Linked DNA regions of Callithrix jacchus. The protein of the gene in region 2 purifies or fractionates together with the protein of the main gene of each other region. This does not show direct contact. Links are inferred from orthologs where the notes say so. Each region holds a gene or a part of one and is shown on either strand. Other genes may lie near its edges. The genes, in order: RIT1 and LZTR1.

Region 1 (10,508 bases), on a different chromosome or scaffold from region 2:
AATCGACAGTTTTGTAATTTCTCTTTTCTGAAAGCAAATTTCTTTATGTATATTATTATAGTAACCTTAGAAAACACCACTCAACATTTTATTCACTTAACAACTATTTACATCTCAATGTATTTCCTTTTAACATTTTTTCTTGAATTCTTGCTTCTGACTCTTCTTCAAAGATGAAGAGCCAACTAAATCAATGCTTCTCAATAATTCCTTAGGATTAGTGAGTTGTGAAATCTACTTAATGGGCTGAGACCAGCATTCAAATAAACAAGCAGAAACTTAATAAAAGTAGAAAATACCAGAGTGGGCTGGGCGTGGTGGCTCACGCTTGTAATCCCAGCACTTTGGGAGGCAGAGGAGGGAGGATCATGAGGTCAAGAGATCGAGACCATCCTGGCTAACATGGTGAAACCCCATCTCTACCAAAAATACAAAAATTAGTTGGGTGTGGTGGCGTACGCCTGTAGTCCCAGGTACTTGGGAGGCTGAGGTGGAAGGATCACTTGAACTCGGGAGGCGGAGGTTGCAGTGAGCCGAGACTGTGCCACTGCACTCCAGCCTGGCAACAGAGCAAGCCTCTGTCTCAGGAGAAAAAAAAAAAAAAGACCCACAGTGGGTCAGGTACAGGGGCTCTCATGGCTGTAATCCCAGTGCTTTGGGAGGGCAAGGGGAGATCACTTGAGCTCAAGAGTTCAAGACCAGCCTGGGCAACAGAGCGAGACCTCATGTCTACTAAAAAAAACAAAATTAGCTGGGTGTAGTGGCACAAGCCTGTAGTCCCAGGTATTTGGGAAGCTGAGGTGGGAGGATCACTTGAACCCAGGAGGTCCAGGCTGCAGTGAGCCAAGATCACACCACTGCACTCCAGCCTGGGCAACAGAGTGAATCCCTGCCTCAAAAGAAAGAAAAGAAAAAGAGGTTAAAGTTACGTAATATTTTAGTTACATATACACGTATACTTGTATATATAATTGTATATATAATTTAATACATACATATGCACACATTCATATACTTTTTTTTTTTTTTTGAGACAGAGTCTTACTCTGTTGCCCAGGCCGGAGTACAGTTGTGCGACCTTGGGTCACTGCAACCTCCACCTCCTGGGTTCAAGCAATTCTCCCACCTCAGCTTCCTGAGTACCTGGGATTACAGGTGTGTGCTACCACACCCAGCTAATTTTTGTATTTTTAGTAGAAATGGGGTTTCACCATGTTGGCCAGTATGGTCTCAAACTCCTGACCTCAGGTGATCTGCCCGCCTTGGCCTCCCAAAAGTAATGCGATTACAGGATTACAGGCATGAGCCACCACGCTAGGCCTTGTATGCTTTTATATCTCTACTAGTTATGATGTAAAGTTTTTCTGAGTATACAGCCAGAGTTTGAAACCAAATGCACTAAACTATAAACTCAAGAACAGAAACCGCATCTTTTTGTTCACCACTGTACCCACAGGCTAAGCAGTCCTTGGTACGTAACAGAAACTCAGAAGACATAAGTATGTGCTGTTGAGTCAGATAATATTGTCAGGAAAGTAGTTAACTGGGGGAAAATTGATTAAGACAGATAATTTGGGCTGGGCATGATGGCTCATGCCTGTAATCCCAGCATTTTGGGAGGCTGAGATGGATGGATCACGAGGTCAGGAGTTCGAGACCAGCCTGGCCATTATAGTGAAACCCTGTCTCTAATAAAAATATAAAAATTAGTTGGGCATGGTGGCAGGCACCTGTAATCCCAGCTATTCAGGAGGCTGAGTCAGGATGATCTTTGAACCCGGGAGGTGGAGGTTGCAGGGAGCAGAAATTGCACCACTGCATTCCAGCCTGGGCAACAATGTGAGACTATGTCTCAAAAACAAAAACAAAAACAAAAACAAGCTGGGCGCAGTGGCTCACGTCTGTAATCCCAGCACTTTGGGAGGCCGAGGCGGGTGGATCACGAGGTCAAGAGATCAAGACCATCCTGGTCAACGTGGTGAAACCCCGTCTCTACTAAAAATACAAAAAATTAGCTGGGCATAGTGGCGTGTGCCTGTAATCCCAGCTACTCAGGAGGCTGAGGCAGGAGAATTGCCTCAACCCAGAAGGTGGAGGTTGCGGTGAGCCGAGATCGCACCATTGCACTCCAGCCTGGGTAACAAGAGCAAAACTCCGTCTCAAAAAAAAACAAAAACAAACGTAACTCTTACAGGAGATGAGTATATGAGCTTTACTTTAAAGAAGGGAAAAGATGCTTCTGGAGTTCTCAAGTAAATTATCATAAGCCCTAAATTCATTTATTCCTAGAACTCCCACCATAATTTAAATCTCTGAACAATGTTCTAAATTTGATATAGTACATGAAAAAGTCAAGAACTTCTTCTATTTTTCCCAATCCCTGGAATCATCTAATGTATAAAATGACCACATCCAAGGCTGGGCCACCGCAAAACATTATCGGCTCTGTGGGAAACAGAGCAGCAGAGGCCTAACCCAATGGAAATCCTTCCTAGAGAACTAGGATCATGGCAAAGAGTGTCACATACTGAAAATAATAGTAGTATAGCTGACTTTCTGTGCCCTCTCCCATTCCCATATCCATTTTTCTGTCATATTAGAATATAAACTCTTAGGAGCACACCTGCTTCCTTATGGTTTAGGAATGACAGTAATGTCCTTACTCTTTGTAGAGACTAGCAATTAAAAAAACAAAAAGTCAGAGCAAACAAAATGACATTTTTACTCCACTAGCATTCTGCATCAAGAGTTAACGACTATCGACTGGGTGCGGTGGCTCATGCCTGTAATCCCAGCACTTTGGGAGGCCAAGATGGGTCGATCACCTGAGGTCAGGAGTTTGAGACCTGCCTGACCAACATGGAGAAACCTATCTCTGTTAAAAATACAAAGTTAGCCAGGAGTGGTGGTGCATGCTTTTAATCCCAGCTACTTGGGAAGCTGAGGTAGTAGAATCACTTGAACATGGAAGGCAGAGGTTGGAGTGAGCTGAGATCCTGCCATTGCACTCCAGCCTGGGCAAGAAGAACAAAACCCCATCTCAAAAAAAAAAAAAAAAAAAAGTTAAAGGCTATAAAAGACAGGAAGGCCGGGTGCAGTGGCTCATGCCTGTAATCCCAGCACTTTGGGAGGCCGAGGCAGGCAGATCATGAGGTCAGGAGTTCAAGACCAGCCTGGCCAACACAGTCAAACTCCATCTCTTAAAAATACAAAAAAATTAGGGCTGGGCACGGTGGCTCATGCCTATAATCCCAGCACTTTGGGAGGCTGAGGCAGGTGGATCACGAGGACAAGAGATCAAGACCATCCTGGTCAACATGGTGAAACCCCGTCTCTACTAAAAATACAAAAAATTAGCTGGGCATGGTGGCGTGTGCCTGTAATCCCAGCTGCTCAGGAGGCTGAGGCAGGAGAATTGCCTGAACCCAGGATGTGGAGGTTGCGGTGAGCCAAGATCGTGCCATTGCACTCAAGCCTGGGTAACAAGAGCGAAATTCCGTCTCAAAAAAATAAATAAGGGGCTGGGCGTGGTGGCTCACGACTATAATCCCAGCACTTTGGGAGGCCGAGGCAGGTGGATCACGAGGTCAAGAGATCGAGACCATCCTGGTCAACATGGTGAAACCCCGTCCCTACTAAAAATACAAAAATTAGCTGGGCATCGTGGCACACGCCTGTAGTCCCAGCTACTCAGGAGGCTGAGGCAGGAGAATTGCTTGAACCCAGAAGGCAGAGGTTGTGGTGAGCTGAGATGGCGCCATTGCACTCCAGTCTGGGTAACAACAGCGAAGCTCCGCCTCAAAAAATAAATACATAAATACATAAATAAATAAATAAAAATAAATAAAATTAACTGGGCAGTGGTGGTGGCAGGCACCTGTAATCCCAGCTACTCAGGAGGCTGAGGCAGGAGAATCTTGAACCCAGAAGAGATCATGCCACCGCACTCCAGCCTGGGTGACAGTGGGAGACTCTGTCTCAAAAAAAAAAAAAAAAAAGAAAAGAAAAAGATATGGGAGAAGGCATTACTATACGATGAACTTAAGATATAAGGAAGCAAATGAAGAGCTCCAAGTGCAAGACCTCCAGGCTCTGCTCATCTGGGTTGTCAGAGTTCAGCAGGCTGGCTCTACTTGTTTTTCTGCTTCCTTTTGTGGAAGTTCAAACCAGCTGACTCACAGTTACAGAGTCAGTCTCAAGTCATGCCCTTAGAGAAGTGACAGCAAGAAAAAGCTTCGTTAAGTGGCCTCTATACAACCATAAAAAAATACAACAAAGAGAGTTGTCCCATTAATGTTCAATAAGAGACAGAGACTAAATAAAGATGGCTTATGACATATAGAGTTAAGTCTGGAAAAAAAGAAATATTCACTTGCTTACCAACTGCTGATACCCTTGTTTCTAAATAAATCAGAATTAGACTCCAAAAAAAGGCTCAAAATATAAATAGTTAGAAACCATTGATATTAATTAAGATATTTTTATGGGGTAATTTGGAAACAGAGTGATGATCTTACTTACCAATGGTGGGATCATGATCTTCTGGGAATCGGTGACTGATGAACTGCATGGTCATGGCTTCAACACAAGACATAAAAGTCAAATCCTCACAAAGGTGACCCATAGAGAGAATTTTAAGTATTAACACTGCAAGATAGCCAGTATCCCATCTGATCATTTAAGTACTTTTCATCCATACTTCCTGTCAAATGGAAAATGTTACCTACCACTCTTCCCTACACCACCAGCACCCAGCATCACTAGTTTGTATTCCCGTGAGAGCCCAGGGGGGCTGCTGCAGCCGCTACCAACAGGGCGAGTTCCAGAATCCATTGTCCTCTTGGGGCCTTCCTGGGCTGCCCCGAGGAAAAGCCACCTAGAAAAGGAGGAGGAAATGCTTAATCCAGGATGGAGACACCACGGCGGCAGTCCTCAAACCAGTGCCTTACCTTTCCATACATACGCTGGCCTGTCCCTCTTGCTCACCGGAACTGCACCCTTTCTGGTGGCTCTAAGAAACCCCCCAAATCTTCACCCTCCCTCCTAGACAGTTCAGTCACATGACATATCACAGGTTTTACTTTTTCCAAGGAGAAACATAAAAAGATACAAAGAAATTTAGATCCCGGCACAGTAGGGATAAACCGAAAGTTTTGGGAAGAAAAGGATGCGGCCCCTTAAGCCACAGGGGTCCTCTCACGTCCGAGGTACCCGGAGGTTCCACCCCCTCCCCATTCTCCTCTGAGACCCATCCCGGCCCCCAGCTGCTCCTCCGCCACCAGACTCCCCACCCCTCTGCCTCACAAGCCGATGCCCTACTGCTCCTGCGGGTCAGTGGGGCCTGGAAGACCACGGCCTGTCGGGTCACCCACCTCGTCTTCCTTCCCTCGCAGAGGATCCAGTACTGACCTGTGACCCCTCCCGCAGCTGGGTAAGATGGCGCCACTGGCGCCCGTCGCTGATGGAGGGGCGGGGCCGCCCCATGACGCCCCACAGCCTGCCCCGCCTTCTTCCCGCCTCTTCCCATCCCTTCCCACCCCAGGTCCCTAAACCCAGTTCCGGGACTCACCGCTAAAGGCCTTCTGGTCACCTATCCAGCCTAGGGTGTATGCACACACAGACATGGGTAATCAGGAGTAGAAAGTAAATTATTTACACAAAACCAAAGAGTAAGTGATAACAGACATGCAGGGACACTAAAAACGTTAACAACTTACCCAGAGTTGTTTGCTGCTTGTGAAACAAAACGAAACTAATTTGGCATAATACAGTTAAGAGGAAGTGAGGAAAGGGGCACTCCCCAAATCCTCCTAACACAGGATTGGGATCAAGATAAATGCTTCATAGCAGAAAAATCACTTTCCCAAAGGAGCAGCCACAAAGACTTTGGCTATTGAAACCTCGATTCATTCTCAAAAACTAGATTTCACACTTCCTAACCAGAGTTCTATATTTTAAACACATATAAGATACACAAAACCTTGTTTTAAACAGACTATTTAGGTAGCACAGATGCTAGAAGAAACTGACAATGGAAAATTGTTCTGATGCAGCTCTGTCCACAACTGTTTTATCATCCCCCACCCTCGCTCCCACAACTGTTATTTTTAAATGTCTTTCTGGGCCAGGTACGGTGGCTAACGCCTGTAATCCCAGCACTTTGAGAGGCCAAGGCAGGTGGATCACAAGATCAAGAGATCAACTATCCTGGCCAAAATAGCGAAACCCCCCCTCGACTAAAAATACAAAAAAATTAGCAGGGCATGGTGGCACATGCCTGTAGTCCCAATTACTCACAGGAGGTGGATGTTGCAGTGAGCCTAGATCGAGCCACTGCACTCCACCCTTGCAACAGGGCAAGACTCGGGTTTCCAAAAAAAAAAGTCTTTCTGGGCGGATCACTTGAGGTCCAGAGCTCGAGACCAGCCTGGCCAATATGGTGGAATCCTGTCTGTACTAAAAATACAAATTAGCCAGGCATGGGGTAGGTACCTGTAATCTCAGCTACTCAGGAGGCTGACATTGGAGAATCACTCGGGAGGCAGAGGTTGCAGTGAACCAAGGCTGCACCATTGCACTCCAGCCTAGCCGACACAGCAAGACTCCATCTCAAAAAATAAAAAGGCTTTCCAAGAGTAATCTATTTCCTTTAAAATCTGCTTCATTCACTGGGCGAGGTAGCTCACACCTGTAAATCCCAACACTTTGGGAGGCTGAGGGCAGATCACCTGAGGTCAGGAGTTGGAGACTAGCCTATCCAATTGGAGAAACCCCATCTCTATAAAAATACAAAATTAGTGGGGCATGGTGGCTTGCACCTGTAATCCGAGCTACTCAGGAGGCTGAGGCAGAATTGCTTGAACCTGTGAGTCAGAGGTTGCAGTGAGCCAAGATTGCGCCATTGCACTCCAGCCTGGGTAACTAGAGTGAAACTCCGTCTCAAAAAAAATAAATAAAACAGGGCCAGGTGTGGTGGCTCACGCCTGTAATCCCAGCACTTTGGGAGGCCAAAGCACGTGGATTATGAGGTCAGGAGTTTGAGACCAGCCTAACATGGTGAAACCCCGTCTACTAAAAATACAAAAATTAGCTGGGTGTGGTGGCGCGTGCCTGTAATCCCAGCTACTCAGGAGGCTGAGGTGAGAATCGCTTGAACCCAGGAGGCAGAGGTTTCAGTGAACCAAGATCGTGCCACTGCACTCTAGCCTGGGCAACAGAGCGAGACTCCATCTCAAAAATAAAATAAAATAGGCTTCATTCATGAAGTCTTTTTTTTTTTGAGACGGAGTTTCACTCTTGTTACCCAGGCTGGAGTGCAATGGCACGATCTTGGCTCACCGCAACCTCCGCCTCCTGGGTTCAGGCAATTCTTCTGCCTCAGCCTCCTGGGTAGCTGGGATTACAGGCACGCGCCACCACGCCCAGCTAAGTTTTTTGTATTTTTAGTAGAGACGGGGTTTCACCATGTTGACCAAGATGGTCTCAATCTCTTGACCTCGTGATCCACCCACCCTGGCCTCCCTAAGTGCTGGGATTACAGGTGTGAGCCACCACGCCCGGCCCATGAAGTCTCTTTAACAGTCTGTTTAATTAAGGAGGGCTAAAATATGAAAATGGAACTTTAAGTGTACATTTTGCAGTTACAGAACTCTCGGAACTAAATGTAAATCTTGGGGTCTGTATATGTATTTTTCTGATATTATATTGCATTAGGCTATGAGTAAACAAGTTTATGAATTTTAGTGTATGGATGGGTTGTGGAAGAAAACAGAGAAACCGCAAACAGAATATTTATACATTTATTTATAATGAAATTATGGTCTCAATATTTACAACATATAGGAAACCAGAGGGTAAGTTTATACAAAGCCAGCCTGCAAAGTATTCAAATGTGCAAAAATGACAGTTCAGTATCTCAAACTACTCCTGGTTCAGCAGACTAGCTCCTTCACTTTCACACATCAAGATTTGATACAAAAAAGTTCTTTTGGCAAAACCTGTAATGCCAAGAAAAAGGACAAGTTGCAATTTCAGTCATTAAGTCCAAAGTCCTACTGCAGGCAGTCAGATCTCTCCATTTTAGCTGCAAACAGTTCTGAGAGAGACAGACTACTGTGTTTCATTTGTGTGATGAGTTCTGACCAGTTCTAGTCAAGAATTCTTGTTTTCTCTGACCCAGCTGAAGACAGGATCTTAGAAGGGCAATAAAAACAGCAATGGCTATAAGACAAATGTGTCTGAAGGTGCCGGCTTTGGATCACCCCAATTAAAAAACACAATGAAAAAAATAACTTCATTTTCCTATCCAGGATCCAGCTATATCCAACAGTTTTAAATGAGACAGCATTTTCCAAAACAGAAATAATCCAAAACAAAACAGGGATGCAGATCTGTCAGAATTAAATACCAAAAAGAACGGTCTAAAATCATTTCCCATTAATAAACAGTAAGGCTTTGTAACCAGTTATGTATCAAAATTGACCAAACAGTACTAAAATACAAATAAAACTTTCTTTAAGTCAGAATTGGGGCTATTCATTTGGAAGAGGCTGGACCAGGTCAAACGTGTATGGGAACGACCCTGTTTTAGGACGCTTTGTTGGACAAGCACGTTTCACCAACTGTTAAAAAGCTTCTGAGATAAATTTATGATTCTAATTAAATTTTAAGATTCTATGCCACCGCAGAAATAAGGATTTTTTTTTTTAAGGAACCCCTTTAAGAAAGGGGGCATTGAATCTCTAACTTCTGCAAAGATCCAAGATGGTTCCCAGCACAGGCCCCAGAGTCTTGTTAAATCAAATGCATGCATTATTGCTAAGAAGAGTCACCGAGGGTCAAAACTCTGTTCCACAGTTTCCTAGGGAGCCATCCAGAATGGCATCTGTTGTTTAGCTCGTGGTTGTGATGAAGGATACTGGTATCCCAAACTCCAGCCCTGTGGAAAACTACTTGCATTTTTATGACCTCCATGTTCCTCCTCTTCATCAGATGAATCTGCAGCATAAGCCACCAAGCCAAATCCCTTCTCTGTAGTTTTCATCTTCTTGGCTGGATAATCTAGAATAGAGAAAAACAACCCCAACCCCATCCCCACCAAGGGAAAAAAAAAAAAACAACAAAAAAAGATAATACCATAAATTCGTTAATAAAAAAAAGATGTTAATTTTAAGTGGTTAGTTGGACACCATTTTGAGGTCATAGGGTCAGTGGTCGCCCAAAACCGTTGAAGATCACACGAAAAACAGCACCGGCATCAGCAAATGTGAATCCACCAGAACCATGTAAGAAAACAGAGAAAGAAAAAAGAAACACAAAAAAAAGAAAAAAGAAAAAAAGGAAAGTTAGCAAGTGAGTCTCTTGAGGGCTGATATTTCACCTTTTAAAGAGTTAAAAGAAAAGAAGAAAAGAAAAAAACGTGAATTTTCTTCTGTTCATTTTTATGACTACAGGCAAAGAACAAAAATATTCCATATCCGTCTATAGGATTTAGAGTTCTGGGATGCTAAAAAGCAGTACTTTCCTAACAGCCACAGATTGACCAAGAGAACTATAAGGGGAGGTGTGGCTCAGCTCCCAATACAAAGCAAAATCAACTTTTAGGAAGTCCGTATCAGATTAACTCCAGGTATTCACACAACATAGGCAACAGGATTTTGATATGACCTAGCACTCATTAGTATTCCCTAGGGTTTTAATGTCACTGATGCTATGTATAAAATAAGTTGACTAGCCCTTTCCTAGACGCATGTTGGTTGGAATAAATGGTTGTCCATATACAAGTTTTTTTCACTATTTTCTTTTTTAGTTGAGACAGTCTCAATCTGTTGCCCATGCTGGAATGCAGTGTTGTGATCTTGACTTACTGCAACTTCTACTTCCCAGGTTCAAACGATTCTCCTGCCTCAGCCTTCCAAGTCACTGGGATGACAGGCACATACCACCAAGCTGGCTAATTTTTCTATTTTAGTAGAGACGGAGTTTCTCTGTGTTAGCCAGGCTGGTCTCAAACTCCTGACCTCAGGTGATCCGCCTGCCTCGGCCTCCCAAGTGCTGGGATTACAGGCGTGAGCCACCGTGCCTGGCCCAAAAGTATTTTCATTAGCCAGTAGATTATAGAGGTTGGATTAAACACCTGAATGAATATCAGGTTAGAAAACTAATCCCAGCTTTATTTATTAATTTATTTTTGAGACAGAGCCTCACTCTATTGCCCAGGCTGGAGGGAAGTGGTATGATCTTGGCTCACTGCAACCTCCAACTCCCAGGTTGAAGTGATTCTCCTGCCTCAGCCCCCTAAGTAGCTGGGATTACAGGCAGCCCCTGCCACGCCCAGCTAGTTTTTTTTATTTTTAGTAGATATAGGGTTTCAGTATGTTCGTCAGGCTGGTCTTGACCTCCTGACCTCAGGTGATCCACCAACCTTGGCCTCCCAAAGTGCTGGGATTACAGGCGTGAGCTACCGTGCCTGGCCGAGAAAACTAATAGCTCTAGACCAGCCTTACTTA
Region 2 (10,009 bases):
AGTGTTCTTCAGAGCCCCAGTCCTGCCAGCGAGTCCACAAATCAAAGAATTCTTTTTGGCAGGTCAGCCCAGCTCTGCTTGTGCAGGCTTTCCACACACCTCGACTTTGAGGAGTACTGCAGGGAAGCGATTGGTGTAGCTCTAACTTGGCATCCCTGAGACTTACTGTTTGCACGATGCTTTCCAGCCTCCCACGGCGCTAGTGCTGGGGAAGCTGTTCCAGGGTGCCGGGGGTACATTGGCTCGGGGAGGCAGCACTTGCTCTCCAGCTCATCTGGGCTGCTTTTCCCCACAGCGGGTATCACAGGCTAAAGGAGGGAGCAGTCCCCACCATATTCGAGTCTTTCTCCAAGTTGCGCCGGACATCCAAGACCAAGGGGCACAGTTACCCATCTGGTCCCACTGAAGTCACCCGGCTCAGGCGATGCAGGAAGCGGTATGTGGTACTGGTGGGGAAAGCCCCACTCCCACCCCTAGGCCAAGGGACTGGGCTCTGGGTCATCTGCCAGCAGTCTAGCCGGACAGGGTTCTTGCTGCACAGAACCTGTGGATCAGGTTTGGGTGTTGGGGGGTTAGGTGGGCTGGTGGAGTGGGGTCTGGCAGGCCCTCAGCCTAGCCCATCAGCCTCTCTCTTCCCCCTTACCAGCTGCTCCGAGGGCCGAGGGCCCACAACTCCATTTTCTCCACCTCCACCTGCTGATGTCACCTGCTTTCCTGTGGAAGAGGCCTCAGCACCTGCCACTTTGCCAGCCTCCCCAGCTGGGAGGCTGGAGCCTGGCCTTAGCAGCCCCTTTTCAGACCTTCTGGGCCCCCTGGGTGCCCAGGCAGATGAAGCAGGCTGCAGTGCCCAGCCTTCACCAGAGCCACAGCCCTCCCCTCTCGAGCCACGGCCAGTCTCCCCCTCAGCCTACATGCTGCGCCTGCCGCCACCCGCCGGAGCCTACATCCAGAATGAACACAGCTACCAGGTGGGCAGCGCCTTGCTCTGGAAGCGGCGAGCTGAGGCAGCTCTTGATGCCCTCGACAAGGCCCAGCGCCAGCTGCAGGCCTGCAAGCGACGGGAGCAGCGGCTGCGGCTGAGACTGACCAAGCTGCAGCAGGAGCGGGCACGGGAGAAGCGGGCACAGGCAGATGCCCGCCAGACTCTGAAGGAGCATGTACAGGACTTTGCCATGCAGCTGAGCAACAGCATAGCCTGAGGGAGGGGCCACTGGACTGACCGAGGGGCTGCCTAGCAAGGGTGCAGCCTCCTTCTCCCTCAGAATCCACCATAACCACCAGGTGCCATAATAAAGTGGATTCTAGAAGGAGGCCCTGCTGTCTGGCTCAGCTGGGGGCTGGAGCCCCTCTGGGTACTAAGCTTGCTGCCCCCAGACAGTGGCTGCAGCTCCCAGAGGGCTCACTCTCAGCTCTGCTCTCAGAAGAGCTCAGTCCAAGCTCTTCGCCAGGGAGAGCAGAAAGCCTGGCTTTCACCCCTCAGAGCTTCTGGTAGACCGGTAGCAGCCAGCCATTGCAGCTCCATGCCCCACAGTTTTCTGAAGGGGCAGGATGTTGTGAGTAGGGGGCAGGATGTTGTGAGTAGGGGCCAGGAAAGCAGTTCAAGGCACCCCTTCCACAGGATCTGAAACAGCCCCAATTTAAGTCAGCCAGCCCCTTTGAGAACACTCCTAAAACCCAGTCTGGATTCAGTTCTCAAACAGGTGCATGACAGGCTTGTCCACAGACTTCATCTGCCTGGTGGGTAAACAGGGCAACCCCCTCGCTGCTCCCTTCACTGCTGTCTCTATTTGAAAAACGGGGCCGGGCGCGGTGGCTCACGCCTATAATCCAGCACTTTGGGAGGCCGAGGCGGGTGGATCACGAGGTCAAGAGATCGAGACCATCCTGGTCAACATGGTGAAACCCCGTCTCTACTAAAAATATAAAAGTTAGCTGGGCATGGTGGTGCGCACCTGTAGTCCCAGCTACTTGGGAAGCTGAGGCAGGAGAATTGCTTGAACCCAGAAGGCGGAGGTTGCAGTGAGCCGAGATTGTGCCATTGCACTCCAGTCTGGGTAACAACAGGGAAACTCCATCTCAAAAAAAAAAAGAAAAAAAAAACGGACAATGACAATGATCAGCCTCCTGGGGCACGCCAGCAAGTAGTGAAGACCCAAGTGACATTTCTAGTCCCTGGAAGTCTGGGAAGAGGTGGCTAGAACTTGTAGACAAGCACTTGGGTCCTGGCCTCAGCATCCTTTTCCTTCAACTCCCAGAAACCTGGAAGGCCTTGTCACAGCTGATTCTCAAACAGCTCCATGCGTGGGATGATTCTCACTGCAAGTTTGGCCTTTCCCTGCCAAGGAACACAACTGAATTCATTTTAGTCCCAGAAACTGCCAAAAAATTTTTGTAAAATTTGCTTTTTAGGACCCTTCACATGTAATTTCATTTATTCACATCATGTCTAGAAAAGACAATTGAGGGTTCAGTGACAAGGTCAGCGTAGAGCAGGGTTTGCAGACTAGTTCAAGGAGGCTTCTGGGCTGGCCCCTCCAGAAGGGGTTTGGAGGAAGCTGCCCTGTAGGAGTGGCAAGAGACATCTTGTGGAAATGGTAGGTGGTTCTGTGACCCCACTGAGTGACTCACACCTGGCCCCCTTGGCTGGCTGCCCTGGTCTGCACTCTACTTCCATGTGTTGACATAATCCCCCCCACCACCAGCCATAGCCCTGGGCTTCTGTGTCCTCACAACAGGGCCTTTTGGCTCAGCCTCTGCCCCTGCCCCTGCTCCTGCTCTCCCTTGTTTCCCAGCTCATCTTGGACCAGGCCACTTCCTAGCCTGTGGGCTGCCTATGGATTTCTCCTGTTAGCTAAGCAACTTGCCACTCAGGGCCCCCCATACATGTGCACACAGCCACAGGCAAAGGAGGAAAATGAACTCTAAAGCCAGAAAAGAGCAGGTCACTTCCCCAAGGTGAGCTATGGCTTCATGGCAGCCATGACCAAAAAAGGGGTCCTGGAATCCTGTTCCCAGTAAGGGAACACTGGTTCCCCAGCATCAGAGTGGATTCACATGTGGTCCTCACTAGGGCAAGAGGGCAGCCCACCTACCACAGCAGCCAAGAGCACAGTACAGAGGCAAGACAGGGCAGGAGCCCACTCCAGGATTCCCCCGGGAGGGGCCAGCTTGGAGGCCTCCACAGCTCTTCTCTCCAGTGTGACCGGGTCACCCCAGGTTGAGAAAGGAGTTGACAGCATAGCTAGAAACAGGTAAGACCAACTAACCTACATCTGGAGGTCTGCCAAGCCATGGGCCACAGAGCCAGTCCTTGGCTGCAGGCAGGCTGAGGGGCTGAGGCCAGCAATGGTGGCCAGGCCAGCAAAGTGTATGTGGTGGGTAGCACTGCTGTGGCTTTAATCAAGGCTTATCTATGACAGAATACTCAGTGAGGGACACAGGGGACTTTGCTGGCTTCTTCCTGGCCCAGCCCTGAGCCCTGACATGCACACAGTGGGGCTGGGATCCTTCAGTCCCTGTGAAAATCAGGCCCAGCCAACCTGGGAGCTGACCTCAGAGCCCTTCACTCCAAGATTCACCTCAAGTCATGTGAGACCTACATATAATCCCCACTCAAGTTCCAATGGGAGGAAGAGCCCCTTACATGGATCTCAGTGAGGGTGGACAGGGCAGGAGTAGCCCAGACAGATTCCCTGGTGTAGGGGCAATTCTGCCAGGCCTCCTTCTGCATGTTGGAAGGGCCTTAGTGACAGGCCCCAGTGCTTGGGTCTACAATACACCCAAGCTTCGGACGCCAGGCCGAGCTCCACAGGGTGGGAAGCCCATCCCTCCCCACTTCTGGTTGGTGTCCCCATCACTGAGCCGTGACCGTGCACCCACACTACACCAGGAGAGGGTGCCAGCAGGGGACGGGGTCTGCTTCATCATCCGCTCCCTGTGGAACCTGTGTCCTCGGTAAATTGAGGCATCTGGGGCCACACATCCCCTCAGCTCTCTTTGGAGGCTCTGGGTGCCCTTGGCCTGGCAGGTGCACCCACTCTGCCATAGGCACGTGTGTGGCCAGTACAGTCTTCTTAGTGGGCAGGGCAGGCAGGCATGGCAATTCGTCACACTGGGTAGGCGCCACAGGGTCTCAGATGTCGGCGCCCAGCTCCGCACACTGCTTGTCAGAGATGTGGGAGGCCAAGGAGTCTATGATATCCAGCAGCAGCTGCTGGCTCAGCAACCGCAGCGTGGGCAGCTTGGAGACCTGCAAGGCAACCAGGCCAGAAGGAGATGGTACCAGATCCACATAAGGGCCAGGGTGGGCAGCAGAGCCTTCTATGGCCCACCCTGCTCAGGGCTCAGGCTGGTCCCGAGGATGGGGCTAAGTGCAGCCAGTTGGGAGCTACTCGTATTTCGCTCACTCCCAGGGCCCACAACTGCAGGAGACCACAGAGCCTGGGCACGCCTCCCTGCCCAGGCATGGTCACTACCAAGAGGAAGCAAGTCCTGAAGGGGAGGCCAGAGCCCCGACCTTGGTGAACTGGTGCACGATGATGTGCAGGCAATGCCGCTTCATGTCCAGTGCCTGGGTTTTGTCAGCCGCCTCCAGGATCTGCAACGACAGGGACCTTGAGGTGCTGCCCCTTTCACCCCCGCTCACTAGCAGCTGCAGCCATGGGCACAGGGCTGGGAGGCTACCTGCAGCACATTCTGCACTGTCACGTTCATCTCTAGGTTTTGCTTGCAGTACGCTTGCAGCCGGTTGTTGTAGAAGCCGTAATAGTAGGGGGCCGCAAACAGGTAGCTGGGGCCTGGTTAAGGAGCTGACCAAAGGAAGCTGGTCCACCCACACCCTCCCAGGGAAGGACAGGGAGGCGCACAGCTGGAGTCCCAAGCTCACTAGAGGCCACGCTCCAATCCAGCCCAGACGACAGCAGGCTCTCTAAATGGATTCTGAATTACTTAGTGGATCAAAGGTCTCATTCAAGATCCAAAGAAAACCGCAAATCCCCTCCCTAGAAAGATACTGTCTGCACATCTGCAGCACTGTTCCATGACCTTGAAGGCCTAACAGGCATCCTGACCCCCCATGTTCAGACCCCTACTGAAGTGACATAAGACTAGTAGCACCACATCTGTGCTCAACTGTCACACAAAGCAATAACCCACCCCATCCTCTGGGCAATTGTGAGGGTCAGGAACCCACTGGTTCCTCCTGGCTGCAAACCCCTCCCTGCCAGCTGCCACCTGCTTCAGAGAGCACCAGGCCCCGCCCCAGGCACCAGCAAATCCTCTGGAGGGAGGTGCTGAGGCACCCAGGGGGCCTCAAAGCTGCCCAAGGCAGGTGCTGGGACCTGTCAGTGGGGATCTGGGAGTTCCCTGGGGCATGAGGATGCAGCGAGTCCTCAGGTGGCATGTTGACCTCTCCATAGTAGATGTAGCGCAGCATGGACTCGAAGGCCTGCCTGCTGGGCACCATCTCCCCGATGGAGATGTTCACCTGCCCATCCTCGGGCATGAAGGACCGGAACATGGCTTCAAAGTAGCTGCAGACAGCAAGTGGAAGACATCCGGCTCTCAGCGAAATGAAGACACCATTCAGGCCCACCCTCCCCTCCTATCCAGCCCTACCCACCTGGAGCGGGCGGCCAGGATGGCCTTATGGGCCGGCCGTGGGTGCCCATCCAGCAACAATGTGATGTCACAGAACTCTGCACCTGCCCCCTCTAGGTATGCCTTCATGTCCTGGATGAGAGACGTGCCTGGGGGTGGGAGGGACCCTGAGCAGGTACAGCCTGGGATTCTGGTCTTGAGGCCCCACAGCACTACCTTCCTGCACATCTGCCCATGTTGCTTCCCTAAACAAAACTTCATGCAGGCAGGAGGCTTCACTCTGGCCCTGAGGCACCATCAGCCACATTCTGTCCTCCCTTGGCACCCTGGCCGACTCGAGCACCCCACACACAGTCCTCCTCCCAGCATCTCATCTTCCACCCAGCCTGCTGTGCCCCCTTGCTGCCCTCATGATCAATCCCCCTCCAGGCCCACCGCATGGCTTCTGTTGTCTGCAGATGTCACCAAGAGCCAGCAACTGGGGTCAGCACAGGCCCCAGGGAGAGCTGGGGGAATGAAGGGGCCTGTGACATTACAAGCAAAAAGTCCAGAGATTGATCATTGTGACTGGGCCATCAGACCTGACATCCCGAAAGAGGTGCCCCATATCCACCCCCAGAAATCAGCTCAGGAAATTCCAGCTCACCAGGACACAGCCCACTGTGGCAAGCCCCATGGGTCAGGGGCTTCTGCCTCTATCTGTTTCTGCCCTATACCCAGGAGAGCACTCTGGGGTCCCATGGCACCCACCCCAAGGGCCTGGCAGGTGCTACGGCTCCCAAGTCTCCTGCCACAGATGAACACCATCACTCCCAGCCCCCAGGGAAGGGGAATGGGGCTTCCTACCAATGTCCACCGGCTGGTCCGAGGGAGTACGAGGAGGCGGCTGCTGCTTCCGCCGCACAATCTCCACAATCAGTGGGGAGGAGAGGCGCTCGAACTCCTTCATCATGATCACCTGGTTGAAGTGGGACTCCTTCACCACGAAGTTCAGACAGTGCTCCTGGGCAGACAGGCACAGGCAGGCAGGTGGGGTCAAGCCAGGGCTTCAGGCAGGGTGAGGGACTCACAGTGGTAGGCAGGGAGGGGGCCTAGACCTGAGCACACCCCACCCAGCCCTGGTCGCGCTGACCTCACCCCACACCTTGAGTTGGCTCAGCTGCAGCCGGGCGGCACTCTCGCACACGACCAGCACGTTCTGCAGGTCCACGGAGGCCTCGATGTACTGGCGGCACAGCTGCTCCAGGCGGCACAGCTGGAAGCTCAGCGCCAATTTGTACACATCCATGATGAGCAGCACATCCTCCACGTGGCCTGCGCTCCAGAGCCCCCAAGTCTCAGGGAGCCAGGAAGGGGAGGGTGGGGCCCAGGGCCCAGGGCTCCCCCCATGAAAGAATGTGGGTTGGGGCCACCAGGTGGGAACAAGGTCTCAGGGGCCTCAGATGGCAACCAGCTGCAGTGATCATGAGTGATGAGGGTGCCACTCATCACCGCAGCCTCCGAGCTTCAGGCCCCATCAGTAAGGCAGGGTTAGCAGCACCCACCTCCTGGCTCTGCTGCCCACACCCCAACCCATACCAATCCTGCTCCACCCCCACCCAGACGGACCTTTCCGTGGGTATTTGATCTTGTCGGTGTAGAGGAATTGCATGAGCACCTCAAAGGGCCGGGCCTCGGCCTCCCGGATGGCCACGTGCAGCAGGGGCGGCCGGGCCCCACCCGAAGCCATGTTGGGGGCCTCCCTGGGAACTGGGGTGGCCTCCTGCTCCAGCTTCTGTGGGGAGAAGGGAGCTCAAGGGCACCCCAGTGGACAACAGGCATGGCTGTCAGGTGAAGACAGGGCAGGTGAGCACCTCACCTGGGCCAACCACTCCCGTGCCTGCGTGATCTTCCTGCGAAGCCAGCGGCTCCGCGCTGTGACAATGGCTACATGGCCCTGCACGCACTCCTCCTTCTGCACAAAGAATGATGCATGGGCAGAAGGCAGGGGACCCTCACCCCAGAGAACAGAGACCCAGCTGACCAGGGTCGGCACCACTGGGCCAGCAGCTGTTTTTCTGAGGGCTGAAGTTCCCACTGCCTGGGCACAGCAGGCGGAGCAGGGCACGAGGACAGGCACCCACCTCACCCAGCACGAACTCCACGTCGCAGAACTGACGGCTCTCCCACAGCCGCCCATAGTCCTCGTGCAGCGTGCATTTAGGATAACAGGAGAACTGCAGGAGGGGCCCAGTGAGGCCAGATGTTGAGGTCGGCAGAGTGGCCTCAGTATAGCCACGCAGGCTGACCCTGAGGTCCCTACCTGGCCCATGCTGACCCTCAGGGCACAGGAGGCAGATGCACCTTAAGGAGAGAAAGCAGCCGCCACCCCACCCTGAAGCGATGGCCTGGGTTCAGCCTGGGCACCTGCAACTGTCCATGGCCCCATAGCAGGTAAGGGGCTCCCCCACCAGTCCCACCTTCTGTTAGGCCCCAGTAGAGTTCTGCTGCCTCCACTCTGCCTGGACCCGTGTCCGCATGCTGGCCCCCACCAGCACACCCCAGTCTCCTCCAGGAAGCCGCCCTGACCTCACTGTGGCTGTGAGTCCCTGCCCTGACCACTTGCTCCTCCAGGCCTGGGAAGGGACTGTCAACACAAGCCACTGTCAGCCCTGGGCCAGGCTGTGATGCCTGTGAGGCTCCAGTGCTGAGCCCAGCTTGGCCCAGCTCCCTCCACTGCCTCTGCCATGAGCCCCAGCACCACTCACCTGCCCCACTCTGCACAGAGGCTGCCCACTTTAGTGCCACCTCAGCCTGCCCTCAGCCCAGACGGCTCCTCCCAAGGCTTCCATCCTGCCAGGTATGGCTCTGGCAACAGTCTGGGTAAGTCCCGCCCGCCCCCCGCCACTTGGCCTGTTTTCCATCATGGGGACCTGTCCACCCAGCTGGCCCTGCAGGCCCACAGGCCCCACACCTGGAACCTGTACATCTCCCCGCTGCGGATATTGTTGTCCACCGTGCCCCCGAAGATGTACATGGCATCCGAGATGACAGCAGCTGCATGGAAGAGCCTCCCACTGGGTAGCTGGGGGACAACAAGACAAGGTAGGATGGGGGGCGGAGCCTCCACAGTGGAGTTGGTGCAGCCAGGTAAGGGCAAGGATATGGTACTTCATGGCCATGAAGGGCCAGGCGGCAGGATTCCCAAGGGAGGAGGGCCCTGGGTACAGCTACAGACACAGGTGGGAGCTGGTGCCCATGCAGGCGAGTGGGGTATTATGGGCCATGAAGACCCTCAGAGTGGGCAGGGCACTCAGGCCAGTGTGTGTCACTGACCCCAGAAAGCTGCAACCTGGACAGCTGGGCGAGGGCTCCCAGCCCTGCACCTCCTTTGTGGCGTGACCCCAAGCAAGTATTTCTCTGGGCCTCAGTCTCCCCATGTGTGAGACGGGCTGATCACAGGACCTGCTTCAGCGGGTGATGAAGGCTTAATGAAGGTCCCGGCCTGTACCTCCGAGGCGGGCTGGGTGGTCTGCTTGGCTGAGGTGGTGCCAAAGTCCAGGCCGAACACGTCTCGGGACTTCTTGAAGCCACTCCGCTCCTCAGAGGTCAGGGTGGGCACCTCCTCGGAAGCACAGGCTCGCTCGGGCACTTCAGCCCCACCAACCTGAAGAGGAAAGGCACTCGGGCATGAGACTAGTCGGCAAGAGTCAGGTAGGTGCCCAGAGACCCCCACCATCCTGGCCTCGATGGCGCAGACCTTTCCTGGCCAGGGTGGGCTTCCCGGGAAAGGTCTGCAGCACAGCAGCCCCATGCAGCTATGGTGGGGTGTGGGCGTTAACCCCCTGCAGACTGTGGGGCGAAGCCGTGGCTAGAGGCTGGGGCAGGTGTCCAGGGCTGAGACCCAGGTGTCCTGGCCTGGCTCCTCGTAGCTGTCTGGAACCCCGGGGGGCCCCAAGGCTGTGAGGAGCTGGGGAGAGGGTGGGAGCAGGGTAGGAGCCACTGGTGTCCAGCCAGCAGTCAGGACCCCCTTGGGAACCGTCACCTCGCTGTCAGAGCTGGGCTGGACAACCTCCCAGGTCTGGAAGTCCACATCATAGCAGTGCAGCTCGTTGGGCAGGGTGTTGTCGGCTGCACCCCCAAACACATAGAGGTGGCGGTCAAAGGCCACCATGGTATGCCCGTAGCGCCGCTGAGGGGGTGGTGGGGAGCCCCGGAGCAGGTGTTCAGTTGGAATGCGTGTCCACCTGGGAGTACACAACAATGAACCAGTGCTGGGCCAGGAGCTCTGATTCACCCTCTGAGTCTCCCCACCACCCTTACTGGGAGGTCCCCCTGCAGCCCCTACAGTGACTAGCCCAGGTCCAGAGGGAGGGCCTAGATACCTGAGCTGAGCACCCCTCACCCCATCCAGCACTGGCACCAGCCCTGC

Evidence for each region.
Region 1: the proteins of LZTR1 (region 2) and RIT1 purify together in Homo sapiens (affinity purification with mass spectrometry; 3 studies listed by BioGRID and IntAct, counting the BioPlex papers as one, with this or other methods). This does not show direct contact. The link is inferred for Callithrix jacchus from reciprocal best matches to the Homo sapiens genes LZTR1 and RIT1.

The regions. Positions count from the first base shown.
Region 1 is NC_133519.1:16,272,708-16,283,215, forward strand, and holds the start of RIT1 (GTP-binding protein Rit1), read right to left. Parts: upstream 5,458-10,508; 5' UTR 4,958-5,457; coding exon 4,950-4,957; intron 4,877-4,949; coding exon 4,728-4,876; intron 4,579-4,727; coding exon 4,522-4,578; intron 1-4,521. Other genes in the region: KHDC4 (KH homology domain-containing protein 4), read right to left, coding at 8,861-9,060.
Region 2 is NC_133502.1:193,120,896-193,130,904, forward strand, and holds the end of LZTR1 (leucine-zipper-like transcriptional regulator 1), read right to left. Parts: intron 9,825-10,009; coding exon 9,623-9,824; intron 9,245-9,622; coding exon 9,089-9,244; intron 8,663-9,088; coding exon 8,552-8,662; intron 7,815-8,551; coding exon 7,722-7,814; intron 7,553-7,721; coding exon 7,457-7,552; intron 7,373-7,456; coding exon 7,207-7,372; intron 6,913-7,206; coding exon 6,743-6,912; intron 6,602-6,742; coding exon 6,445-6,601; intron 6,123-6,444; exon of another isoform or gene 6,034-6,122; intron 5,748-6,033; coding exon 5,621-5,747; intron 5,532-5,620; coding exon 5,382-5,531; intron 4,790-5,381; coding exon 4,684-4,789; intron 4,598-4,683; coding exon 4,517-4,597; intron 4,250-4,516; coding exon 4,133-4,249; 3' UTR 2,403-4,132; downstream 1-2,402. Other genes in the region: THAP7 (THAP domain-containing protein 7), read left to right, coding at 296-436, 647-1,199. UniProt on the Homo sapiens protein: Substrate-specific adapter of a BCR (BTB-CUL3-RBX1) E3 ubiquitin-protein ligase complex that mediates ubiquitination of Ras (K-Ras/KRAS, N-Ras/NRAS and H-Ras/HRAS).